2 linked regions of the Drosophila melanogaster genome follow. Changing the gene in region 1 together with any one later gene gives a genetic interaction. Each region holds a gene or a part of one and is shown in the gene's direction. Other genes may lie near its edges.

Evidence for each region. A genetic interaction does not mean that the proteins touch.
Region 2: of Irk2 (region 1) and Ret, changing one suppresses a phenotype caused by changing the other (phenotypic suppression), as found in Drosophila melanogaster (one study listed by BioGRID).

Annotation. Positions count from the first base shown.
Region 1 is NT_033777.3:23,513,442-23,521,345, reverse strand, and holds Irk2 (inwardly rectifying potassium channel 2), read left to right. Parts: upstream 1-1,900; 5' UTR 1,901-2,195; intron 2,196-2,640; coding exon 2,641-2,888; intron 2,889-3,027; exon of another isoform or gene 3,028-3,076; coding exon of another isoform or gene 3,077-3,276; intron 3,277-5,858; coding exon 5,859-6,133; intron 6,134-6,186; coding exon 6,187-6,969; intron 6,970-7,019; coding exon 7,020-7,078; 3' UTR 7,079-7,137; intron 7,138-7,200; coding exon of another isoform or gene 7,201-7,298; 3' UTR 7,299-7,729; downstream 7,730-7,904. Other genes in the region: CG10177 (uncharacterized protein), read left to right, coding at 1-1,138.
Region 2 is NT_033779.5:21,195,732-21,200,521, reverse strand, and holds the start of Ret (Ret oncogene), read left to right. Parts: upstream 1-1,759; 5' UTR 1,760-1,869; intron 1,870-4,790. Other genes in the region: CG31624 (uncharacterized protein), read left to right, coding at 585-1,121.

The DNA of each region.
Region 1 (7,904 bases):
CTTCAAGGGCGTTAATTTGGTCATCTCTCGAGCCCACTTCAAGGACTTTCCGGCTCTTCTGCAAGGAGTCACCGAGTCTTTAAAACGCCATGTGCTTTTGAGATCAGCAATCGCGCACTTCCGCCGGACTGACGGATCGCATTTAACATCGCTGAGTTGTTTCCGCGAAACCGACATTGTGATTTGCTGCTGTAAGAACGAAGAAATAATTTGTGTCAAGTACAGCATCAACAAGGACTTCCAGCGAATGGTGGACTCTTGTAAACGTTGGGGCCAACATCATTTAGACAGTGGAACCCTGGAGTCCATGAAGTCCCACGACCTGCCCGAGGCCATACAGCTTTACATAGAGACTATAGAGCCCGTTGAGCACAACACAAGGACGCTGATATATCGCGGGCAAACCAGGGCCAACAGGACGAAGTGCACCGTAAAGATGGTGAACAAGCAGACTCAAAGCAACGACCGCGGAGATACCTATATGGAGGCAGAGGTGCTGCGACAGCTTCAGTCGCATCCAAACATCATCGAGCTGATGTACACGGTTGAGGATGAGCGCTATATGTACACGGTTTTAGAGCACCTGGACTGTAACATGCAGAAAGTAATTCAGAAGCGCGGTATCTTGTCGGAGGCAGATGCCAGATCGGTGATGAGATGCACGGTATCGGCACTGGCGCATATGCACCAACTTCAGGTGATTCATCGGGACATCAAGCCGGAGAATCTGCTGGTTTGCTCTTCATCCGGCAAGTGGAACTTTAAAATGGTCAAAGTGGCGAACTTTGACTTGGCCACTTACTATCGTGGCAGCAAGTTGTACGTCCGTTGCGGCACTCCATGCTACATGGCACCCGAGATGATCGCAATGTCGGGATACGATTATCAGGTGGACTCCTGGTCGCTGGGTGTTACTCTGTTTTATATGCTCTGCGGTAAAATGCCCTTTGCTAGTGCCTGTAAAAATTCAAAGGAGATCTATGCAGCGATCATGAGCGGTGGACCCACGTATCCCAAGGATATGGAAAGTGTCATGAGTCCAGAGGCTACCCAGTTGATCGACGGACTGCTTGTGAGCGACCCCAGCTATCGTGTTCCCATCGCTGAGCTCGACAAGTTCCAGTTCTTGGCCCTATAGCGTTGTTCAAAATTTCCAGTATTATCGGATTTTTTAGAATTTCAATAAATTTAAATAGGTTCAAGTGAGGCCATTACAATAGCCCAAGATTTATGGTGGCAGTGAACGCTTTTAATTGGCTTAATGCCGTCAAAATTAACTACGCATGACCATACCGTTGACTGCACAGCGATGCTTGTATGGACATATATATTTGTTATTAACGTCACAATTTATTTATTATTTATGTTTGCACAATGCAGCCAAAATGCGCGTGAGTCGATGGTAAACACTGAGATATTACGTATACGACACCTTGTACTCGAATCCGAGCCAAAATACAAACGAAAGCCATTGTTTGCGCTGTCTATTTAAACAGGGAGATTCAGTGACAGTCGTATCTGATAAATCAGAACTCTCTGGGCTAACCTATCGATATTGCGACACCACACGGGGGCCCACAGAATATCAAGCAGGCGCCACCCCTTCCCCGACTTCGACTCAAGGTCGCTTGCATTGAGAAGTGTCTCTGCCTTCTGATTTCGTTGATAAGATGAGCTTATCGCACTTATCTTCCGCTTCGCTTTCAATTTACGAATCATTTCAATTGAACTTTTTCCGCGGCACAGCCGCAAGTTGTATCTTTCGGTAACAGTATCTGTGAGAGCATCGTCGATGTGCACTGTGTAATTTTCTCTCTTCCTGAACATGTATGTGTGTGTCACTTACAGCTCACCGCTTTCTGTTCACAAGTTTTGTTTAGTTGGAAAAATGTTCTTTCAGTCGGCCGTCATTTAATCCATTGGTCGGACTTGCGGATCCGTAGATTCGCTGTGACAGTTGCTCTGTGGCTCTGAGTGCCCTCTGATCTCCAGTCCTCAGATCATCTCATTTCTGGAACGACACGCGTCGGCAAAACATAACGAAACGGAGCTTGTGAAACTAAAACATTGTGCCTATTATCAGTTCGCAACATGCCATCATAAAGTGCCAAAAGTTTGTTGAGGCTCTTTTGCAAAACAATGGAGATCTAACAAAATCTCGATTTAAGGGTGTCAATCAATTTAATATCTAAAAGGTGATAAAACTACTTAAGCTTAAGCGTGCTGATGTTCAATAATTATTCGACTTACAATTGCTTGCCTCGGATCTTGTGAAAAGTACAGAAAGGTGCGAAAATCTAAGCTAGCTGCGGAAGCGCTTTAAATTTCAGTAACTCAAGCTCGGATTTTATGCAGCTGCCTATAAAAATCGTTTAACAATGTGGCGAATATCTGCTATTTTTATGGTTGAATAATGTGGTTAATGTTTGCTTGTTATTCCATAAATAATATAAACTGATAAAGTATATGGTTGTATACTTTGCCAGCGGACCACAAAAATCTGTGTGAATCAGCTGACGACGTTGGCAAAAAAAAATAGATTCTCGCACCTGGGTTGCACTTATCACAAGTTTCTGTTTGCCCACTCGACGCCAAGGGAATTAATTGAAAAGGCAACTCCTTCACCTCAACCTCCCACAGATGCGTTTCAATTTCTCCACCCACTCGGCGGCCCCCACCTCTACGACCATACCAACAACAACACAGGCAAATGGAGGCGAACAGGCCACCCAACCGCTCAAGAAGGCCATCGAAGCGGATCCCGATTCGCTGGACAGTGTGATCAGCAATCCTCAATCCTATCCCATCACAATTGTGCCGAATAGGCCGACCAGCTACTATGGCCTATCCCAAAATGGCAAGCCGTTCCCCCGCCAACCGAGCTGCAGGTGAGTTGTGATGGATATTTTCTAAGCTATTTTCCCGGGCTAAGTGATTTGGTCAATAAGTGCCGATTAGTTAGAGCAGCTCTAATTGCTTGGCCAAATTCAGACCACTTTAACGTTGGCCTGGACTGAATCGACTGGCGAGGAGCTTCAGTTTCGTTCAGAACCGCGAAGTTAAAACGTCTAGAGAAATGCAGGTCCCGCTCAGCGATGTTCAGGTCCTGCAGGATCCCACCGACGCGGAAACCCTTGTCGGCGGCGACAAGGAGGAGACCTTTGCCCACATGAAGGAGTGGAAGCGCCAGTACATGCGGGGCATCTCGCACACGCCATCGCAGGCGGGAGTCTACTACGAGGCCTTGAAGGGTTCCAGCCACTCGCTGGCCAAAGGGTGCGCATTATCCGAATTGTTTCTGATTTCAATCATTAGATTCAAAAGAATGGTTTGAAATATTTCCGTCACTATAATGATTTAACTTCGAACTTTCGTTCTTTCTCATTTAATAGTGGATTTTGATAATTTAATGTTTACTTCTAGCTGAAGTTCCTGTTACACTACTACGCTAATTAGAGCTCTTTATAAATATTCTAAGAACTTTACTTGCGAAAGTAAAAATAGGAGCTACGGGCAACAATTACCCAATTACGCAAAGTTCCGCCGGCTTTCCGCCAAGTAATTAGCTCGTCAAGGGGCCTGACATTCAACTTGAACTTGCCGACAAGTTGACTTCCATCATCGCCGTGCGTCCGTGTCACGTTGTCGCATCTTTTTGGCTTTTTGTTTAGCTGATTATCAGAGTGCCGCTCGCAGTTTGCGGTTGTAATTTATATGGCTACGCCCACGGTTCTAGTTTGCTTTCCGGGCTGCAGATTGCAGTGCAAATGATTTAGAGACGCTTTACGAATGCGATTCATTAGGCCAGCCATTCTGTCTTTTCCAAATCTTGACGGCATCTTGTTCTCACACTTGTCACCTGCTAAACGGTTGTCCAAATGATTTCCCATCGGATATAGCTTCCCTTTTCCCAGACACTTTTTATTTACTATTTCGATTTTATTATTTTTTCTTATGTGTTTATTGCGTGGTCCGCTCAAAAATGTAATTAATTAATGCCGACATTCTACAAAGCGGGCCAATGATTCATATGGCACAAATTTAGCCCGCTGAGCTCTAAATTTGATTAGCCGGCATTAATGCAATCGGCACAATGCCAATTAATCGAGTAGTGCGAGTGTCAATGTGGGGTTAAGGTAATTGGCATCCGATAAATGCCGATTCACGTGGGTGTAACCATCGACCGGTGCATCAAGCCCTCTTGAAATGCATTGCTGTGACAAGCAGAGGGGTAATAAATCAAACAATTTGTGGGAGAGCTGTAATTAAGTGTTATAAGAGTGGATGGGTCAGATTGCCGTGAATCGTAATTGCGATCTGAATCTGTCCGATTTGTCCGCCTTGCGACATTGGCATTCGCGGCTGTGTTAATTAGATGCACTTCTCGTGTGTCCAGTCCAAAAACAGACGAGTGCAAAAGCGCACACTTAATTTACGCAAATTAAAAAACACGATGTCGAGACATCCAATTTTATCTGACACGTGCATAAATCATAGAAATCATATTCATTGCCATTTGTAATAGGAACGATGAATGAGAATCTCCAGACAAAGAGGGTTAAGGAAATTCGGACACATCTTATAATTTCTTTATCCTATAATATTAAAAAATGAATAAATATTTTCCAATTTGTTATGTCACCCATAAGGTTGAAGCAAAGACACTAGAATAACAAGATGCGTAACGCCATACGATTTTTTGGCACACGATTTTTTCGCCGTGGCTCTAGAGGTGGCTCCAGGCTCTCTCGAATTTTTGTTAGAGAGCGAGAGAGCGGAGAGTGCTACAGCGAACAGCTCTTTTCATCGCATAAAGTGATAGCAGACAACTGTATGTGTGCACACGTATGCTCGCTCATGCATTGTAAATTTCACAAAATATGCCCTTCACCTTAGAAGTTCTTTGACTTTAAATCTATATTATTTTTGATCAATTGGCACCATGCGAAAAATTCTTGTTTTGCATTGCCTTAACGTTATTATTATATGAAAATAGATTAGAAATAGCCAAATCTATGTACATATTATCACAAAAATAAATTTCAAAAATGACTTTATATAAGAATATTTGTCATTAGAGTATTCATCTTGCGGCGTGTGAAAAATTAATAAGGCAATGATTGTTGAGTGCTTGTGTCCGTACTTCGTGCTTCAAGATATGAACAAAGCAAAGACACTAGAATAATTCTAGTGTCTTTGATATGACTTTTGCAATAAACAGTTATCATATTTAATTATTTACTATATTTATTATGTCATTTGACTTAATATGATGTAACATTAACATTAAAAGTGTTTAAAAAAAAAAATATTTCGCTTTCTTAAAAAATTGTCAGATGAGAGACAAATTAGAATTAAACATAAATATAAATGTGTAAACGGTAGCTAATTCGAGCGGCGATTTTAACAAACAAATTTAAAAAGCTTTAAAATGGTAATAGTCAGTTAAAAATTATTTTATTTTATCATATTGCTACGAAATTGGCAAAAACTACCCTAATATGTACAATGTAAATTCGTTTTTTCGATCAGAATTGATTTCGGTCCGAAAATCGTCTTCTAGCACAACACGCACACATATATGCGTTCTCGTCTCTTGTTTTTACTCACACAAGCAAGCAAATTCTATTTTTAGATTTCTTATGCTCTCAGCGGGAGCGAGCGGAAAGAGAGCAATTTTGGCCGTCACTAAAAAATTGGCTGCATAGTGCCAAACCAATGTATGGCCGCTACGCATCTTGTTATTCTAGTGTCTTTGGTTGAAGCGATACGTAAAATAGAAACGAAACCAAAAAGATTGATAATACACTGCACACTTTTAGGCTTTATGTATAAATACTTTGATTTTCTATTCACAGATCTCGCAATTTCCGGCCTGGCAGCATGAGACGTGTTCGCCGACGAGCGGTCTTCAAAAATGGTGACTGCAATGTGGTGCAGAAGCACCTGCAAAGACGCCGAGTTCGTTTCCTGCAGGACATGTACACCACCATGGTGGATTGGCAGTGGCGGTGGACTCTCTTGGCCTTCGCACTCAGCTTTATCCTGTCTTGGCTCTTCTTTGCTCTCATCTGGTGGCTGATTATCTACACACACGGAGACTTGGAAGAGCCTCACTTGCCAGAAAACCAAGGTTTGTTAAATATAAAGAGAACTCAATGGTTATATGACAATTTCATCTTTTAGAGGAATCTGGTTGGGCGCCTTGTGTTTCGGCCATCGATGGCTTTACTTCCTGCTTCCTGTTCTCCATTGAAACGCAGCACACTATTGGCTACGGTGTCCGAACCACCTCGCCCGAGTGTCCAGAGGCCATCTTCATGATGTGCTTCCAGTCCATCTATGGCGTGATGTCTTCAGCATTTATGGCCGGAATAGTGTTTGCCAAGATGACAAGGGCCAAACAGCGGGCACAGACTTTGTTGTTCTCCAAACACGCCGTAATTTGCCAACGTGATGGCACCCTTTCGCTGATGTTCCGTGTGGGTGACATGCGAAAATCACACATCATTGGAGCCGGAGTGAGGGCTCAGTTGATCAGGACAAAGAGCACCAAGGAGGGTGAGGTGATGACACAGTACTTCACAGAACTGGAGATCGGTACTGATGACTCCGGCTCTGATTTGTTCTTCATCTGGCCCATGGTCATCGAGCACAAGATCGACGAGAACTCACCGCTCTATAATCTTAATGCCACTGATATGCTGCAGGATAAGTTCGAAATCGTGGTGATCCTAGAGGGCACCGTGGAGTCCACTGGACAGAGCACTCAAGCCAGATCCAGCTATATTAACACTGAGATCCTTTGGGGACATCGTTTCGATCCAGTGGTGTTGTACAACAAGGATCTGCAGGCCTATGAAATCGACTACGCTCGCTTTAACGAAACCACTCAGGTGGACACTCCGTTGTGCAGTGCTCGGGAATTGAACGAGATCTACAAGATCCAGGAGGGATTCCGCACACCAGGTAAAAGTTGGAGTGGCGAAATCCATCGTTTTTCATTGTTATTTGTCTAGCAGAAACCACCTTTACCATGCGTCAACTGTCCCACAATCATTCTGACCAGGCCTCCTAGGCGCAGATTCCAGTGTTTCGTCCCTTGTGTTGCTATAGTTGTAATCGTGTTTGTCCTATGTGAGTTAAACGCCTCGCTCCTTGTATGGTGACCCATAATATTATGAGATATCGTTATTACAGCTTCCCCATCGACCCAATCGAGGTGCTCCTGCAGTTCCGGCTATCAGACACCTGGAAGGCAAAGCCGCCTGCGTTGGCAGCTCTCGGTGCCCTTGTAATGGTCCTCGACTATCAACGCACTTAAATGTACGAGTTACCCTACGAAAATAAGTTAATAAACGCTTTAGTCAGAGACTACACCCAAATTGCATGTCCCTGGGCTTGGGCTGTGCATACAAATGACACATAATTGCCCCGCTCGCTCCCAGGTAGCAGTTGCATTGGGGACCAACCCACTCATTAGGCATCATTAATAACTCGGGCATATCAATGCAAAAGGTGCCAAAAAAAAAGCCCAACACAATCACACACAAACTCACGCAGGGCAAAACAAGTTCGTTGCTGGAGTCTTTTGTTCGTGGGCGACCCCAAAGTGGACTAGAGTGAGTATTTCACATCGAGTGTGTCGAAGTGCGGGGCTATGGCGCTTGCGAGAAACATACATATCCTTTTAATTGAAATTGAATCAATAACTCTTATTTGCGCAAACTAATCAACACTAAATTATAACACTCACAGAAAAACAACTTGAATATTTATTATCGCATTTATCACCGCTCCCAGGGTGGATATCTAATGAAATGTGGGTGTGGGTAAGATGCCTGGTATGCCCCAATGCCCGGGCCATAAATACAATGCCAAATTTCAGCAACTCTATTACAATT
Region 2 (4,790 bases), on another chromosome or scaffold:
TGCTGAATCTCATACGAACAGACGGGCATGGCTAGATCGACTCGGCAATTGATCCTGATCAAGAATATATATACTTTGTATGTTCGGAAACGCTTCCTTCTGCCTGTTACATACTTTTTAACGAATCTAGTATACCCTTATTATACCCGTTATTGCTTGTTGTTGTGCTCCCATTTTGTGTGAAACATCTAATAGAAAGTAAAGTAACAACGGTGGCCCTGTGACAACTGTTTTGATATATGAGAACAGTACAATTACGAACTAGGAAAAACACACTGCGAAAAGAGGAAGTAGTGAAACAGGCGACAAACCCAGTAAGAAATACACCCAATCTTAAAATAAGTACAGAATTATAATTTGTCTCATTAATATTTGCGTTGCCCAGTGTTTATCGTTCCATAGCCATCTTCCGTTGTTTCTTTCAATAAAATAATCGATAGCTGCCCTGTTTTGTACATTTTGTATTTTAACCTCAATTTACGATATATACGAGCAATTCAATCAAAAAAGAGTAATTGAACAATCCCTTGGTAATGCGCATTAAAAATCATTTTTTATTAGCAGTTACCAATCGAGAAGCCAAAATGACTGAGAGCATTGTGTGTCACAAGTGCCAGGAGGCCATCACCAAGCGTATGATCACCGCCCTGGGCAAGACGTGGCACCCGGAGCACTTCCTGTGCCACCACTGCGATGAGCAGATCCTGGATGCCACCTTCAATGTTCAGAGCGGAGAACCAGTGTGCAACAAGTGCTTCGTGGAGCGGTACACCTACACCTGTGCCGGCTGCAAGAAGCCGATCCTTGAAAAAACCATCTGCGCCATGGGGGAGAGGTGGCACGAAGCTTGCTTTTGCTGCGGCGGTGCCTGCAAGAAGCCGCTCGCCAGTCAAACGTTCTATGAGCGCGACGGCAAGCCCTATTGCAAACAGGATTACGAGAACCTCTTTGCTGCCAGGTGCGCCAAGTGCGAGAAGCCTATAACGGACTCAGCGGTGCTCGCCATGAACGTGAAGTGGCATCGCAATTGCTTCCAGTGCAACAAATGCGAGAATCCTATAACCTCGCAGACTTTTACCATCGACGGGGACAAGCCCGTGTGCCCCGCCTGCAATTGCTAACATCGTCCCGGACCCATGATCTTACTCCAAATTGTTTAGTTCCTTTCTTACACTAATGTTGAAATAGTTCCCGATGCTTATGAAGCCTAGAGGCATGAAAGAAATCAGACCCACACATTTGACCACACTTAACATTTCGCACACGCACACACTAAATAAAAATAAATATGTAAAGTCTCTGTATTGGGGTGGCCAGGTAAACCCTTTTATCGTTAAGATTTGCCTAAGACCAACAACACCCACAACAACATACTGATTACTGCGAGATAAACTAGAACGCAAGCCCTTTCCCAATTTTGAGTAAATATTTTCCCCAAACCCAGTGAAAAGAAGCTGTCGAGGAAAGTGTGCTTGATATGAGATCATGTTTCCAAGGGTAAATATGCTACCCAGCCTTGGAACATGCACATCTGATTATCTCATAAACGCCATTAGTCGGTGGAATTATGTTGTTTGGAGGAGGGGTATCCCAGCAGTGCAGCGGAAAATGGAAAACTCTGCGAGGGTGTGCTGACGTGCCGTCATCGTGGAAAATTCATACATTCGGGTAAAATACACGAAGCGGCTTCGTTAGTCAAGTTTTCGTTACGATTTTGTGGGCTCTGCGGCTTTGGAGTTGCCGGCTGCCGGTTTCAGTTTCATTTTTCAAACGGAGCTCGTGCAAAGCGGTTCGGTTGGTCTTTAAGCGATTTTCCACAAACCAAAAAGTATTTCCGCGGAAAAGCTGCCCGAAAACGGGAAAAGAGAGGTGGCTAATTAATTACACTGTTGAAACTGTCCCATAAATAATTGCCGTTTGAGTCGAACAATTAAGGAGTCTGTAAAAAGCTGCAGCAGCTGCAAGCCTCCATAAATCGTGTCTATCAAAATCAAGATCGTGGTTTACGTATGTTGCGAACTTTGAAATTTATTTGCGATCTATGGCCAGATTTTCCAGATTCGGATTTTCCAAATGCAGCCAATATCCTCACGTCTAGTGGCACTGACAACTCAATACAGTATATCGTGTAGATTGGCATCAGATAATTGTGATTTAGCCGTGCGTGTTGAAGTGGAATTAGTTTACTCAATTTGCAACTTCAAGTAATTGCAGTTTATTGAGGAAAATATTTTAATATATTAAAGCTGAAGTGGCGGGATAACAGATTAGCTATAAATATATATATATATACATATATGTATGTATGCAAAGACACATCTTTGATAGTAAAACACTAAGTGTGGGTGGTCTGAGCGTTTATTCTAATTGATAATTATTTTAATTAATACAAAAGATATCTAATCTTGTACTTCTACATTTTAAATGCCTGTTAAGGTCTTTCGTGCTTGCGTTTGCTCAGGTGGAGGCAGAGCTTATAAAAATGTTAATCTTACAAATTATAAAATGTGGGATTAATTGGAAAATGTTTTATTTTGATTACCTAGGTGACAGAAAATTAATTGTTAGCATATGCAAATGTCAGTCGCGATGTGAATTTGCATTTTACGAATGTGTCTACAAGCGATCAGGTCTAAAAACTCAATCAATGGGATCAATTAGGGTTTGTAATACTTGCTATTGCTGACTGTGTTGGATCAAAAAGAACATCACGCACACCTTTAAAGCGGCTGTCATTCCAGAACCTTTTTTCGTGGAAATGGAATCCAAGCCAGGCTCTAAGCTTCCAGGCCAAATTTATTGACGCTACTCTGGCATTCTTTTTCAATTCGTAGATGTCTGTGAACGAAAAAATAACTTACAAGCCGATGGCACTGGAAAAGGTCCAAGCCTAAGTCAATAATATCATCGAATTATTCTATTTGGTTTTTATTCACAGCTCATTATACCAATACTCATATATAAAATACCATTTAAAGTTAGGGGAAAGATTGAAAAAGTAGCAATAATTCGATGAAACCAAATGAAGCAACATTTTTTTTTATTGTGTAAGCCATAATATTTTTAAACACGACACATTAAAAAATTTTTTTTTACATTTCTGTATTCATTAAATCTTTGCAATGCAAAATGTTCTTCATTATGATAAAGCAATGCAAAAGGCAAACATTTGATTAAAATTAAGCTCCCAGTACGCATTCTTAGAATCTTTTTTTGTCGCAGTGCAGTTAAAAAACAGTCGGGGCAGTCACTGGCACTGAAGAACCTCCACAGTCGTACTTTGACTCTTGCGGTCGTCGGATGTTTGTAAGTTTGCCGGCTTCGCATAAGTTTTATATGGAAATTGCCATTTTTGGCGTTTCGAGCAACAGGACGGCTATAGACGCACCTTAAAAGTCCACCCGGATCGGCTGGGTCGCGCTTAACCTTTAATGGGGAAACGCCATGGCCCGAGCCTTTGAGAGCCCCTCCAGTTGGCAACCGGTTGGCTTCCAGTGAATGTCTCTGAGTTTCTGTGTGTGTCTGCTGCAAAAGCCTCTTTGTGTCAAGTCGTATGTTATTAGCATCCGCCAACTGAGCTCCCAGTGTGTCAAAAGATTTGAACTTTAAAGTGCTCAGGTGCTGAAGAGGCCCACAGACGAAAAGTAGACAGCAGACACTTGGACTGCCAGTCAGTCAGTCAGTCAGTCAGTTAGTCGGTCTCTCGGTCTTTGAATACACTGCGAATAAAACTGTGATAATCGCACATTTGGCCATGCTATCGGAAACTATCTTTAGAAAATGTGCTTTATTTCAAGCAAATGTGATTGCAATGATTAAGAAAAACGGATAGAAGAGTGTTGTACTAAGTACCAAAATACCGAAATTACTTAAAGCAAATCCCATTTACCAATAAATTGAAATGATCCAAATTCAATGAGTTTCAGCTTCAGTTTACACAGTTTTTCCCATTCGACTTTTCGGCCAGTGTTTGTGAATTGCTTATCACGTTGTTTGACTTTGAGCTCGTTTGAATTATGCGTGCTATCTTCCATTGCCATTCCCCTGGCCAGCGGGTAGTTCACGCCGCAATTGTCTCTTTCGGGTTCTTTTTATCACACCTGCCGTGCACCGCTGGATACCACACATATGCCGTCCATCCATCCGCACTGGAGCGATGTGGAGTGGAGTACCTAGAGTACTCTGTGGGGTATGGAGTAGGTAGAGTACTCGCACGTCCACAAACTTTTTTTGCCTTTTCCTTGACACGTCCTCGTTGAGCGTTGCTTGGTACTTGCATAGAATTAGTTATCGTAACTAGTTCTATTGTTTTTCGTATTCAAAATTCATCAGGGTTTTCGGCAGTTGGTTAGGAAGTTTAGAAATCTTAATAAATTAGCATTACCACTGTATACAAAACTCTGGTAATTTTAAGCCCGAAACTGTCTCAAAAACCATTCAACTTTTTGACTTAAGGCAGCCAGAGCAAATTGTGAAGTAAACCCACATTGTTTGCCCAAATAATTTAATTAAATTATTCCACTTAAAAACCGATTGAGCAAACTGAAAGCCATTCGACATGGAGTGAATCGGCAAAAAGAACAATTAATAATGATAAGAGCAACAAATAGCACGCACCCGAGGCGCTCGACTTTTAAAATTTAGAATTAGAAAAATATAAAACAAAAAACAGAAAGCAACGCCAATAAGCCTCTCACCTGGCGCTGGCCAAAAATAGCAACCGAAGACCATTTAATAACAATATCAATATGCGAAACAAATTCAAAGCTCATTTTGAATTGCAATAATCA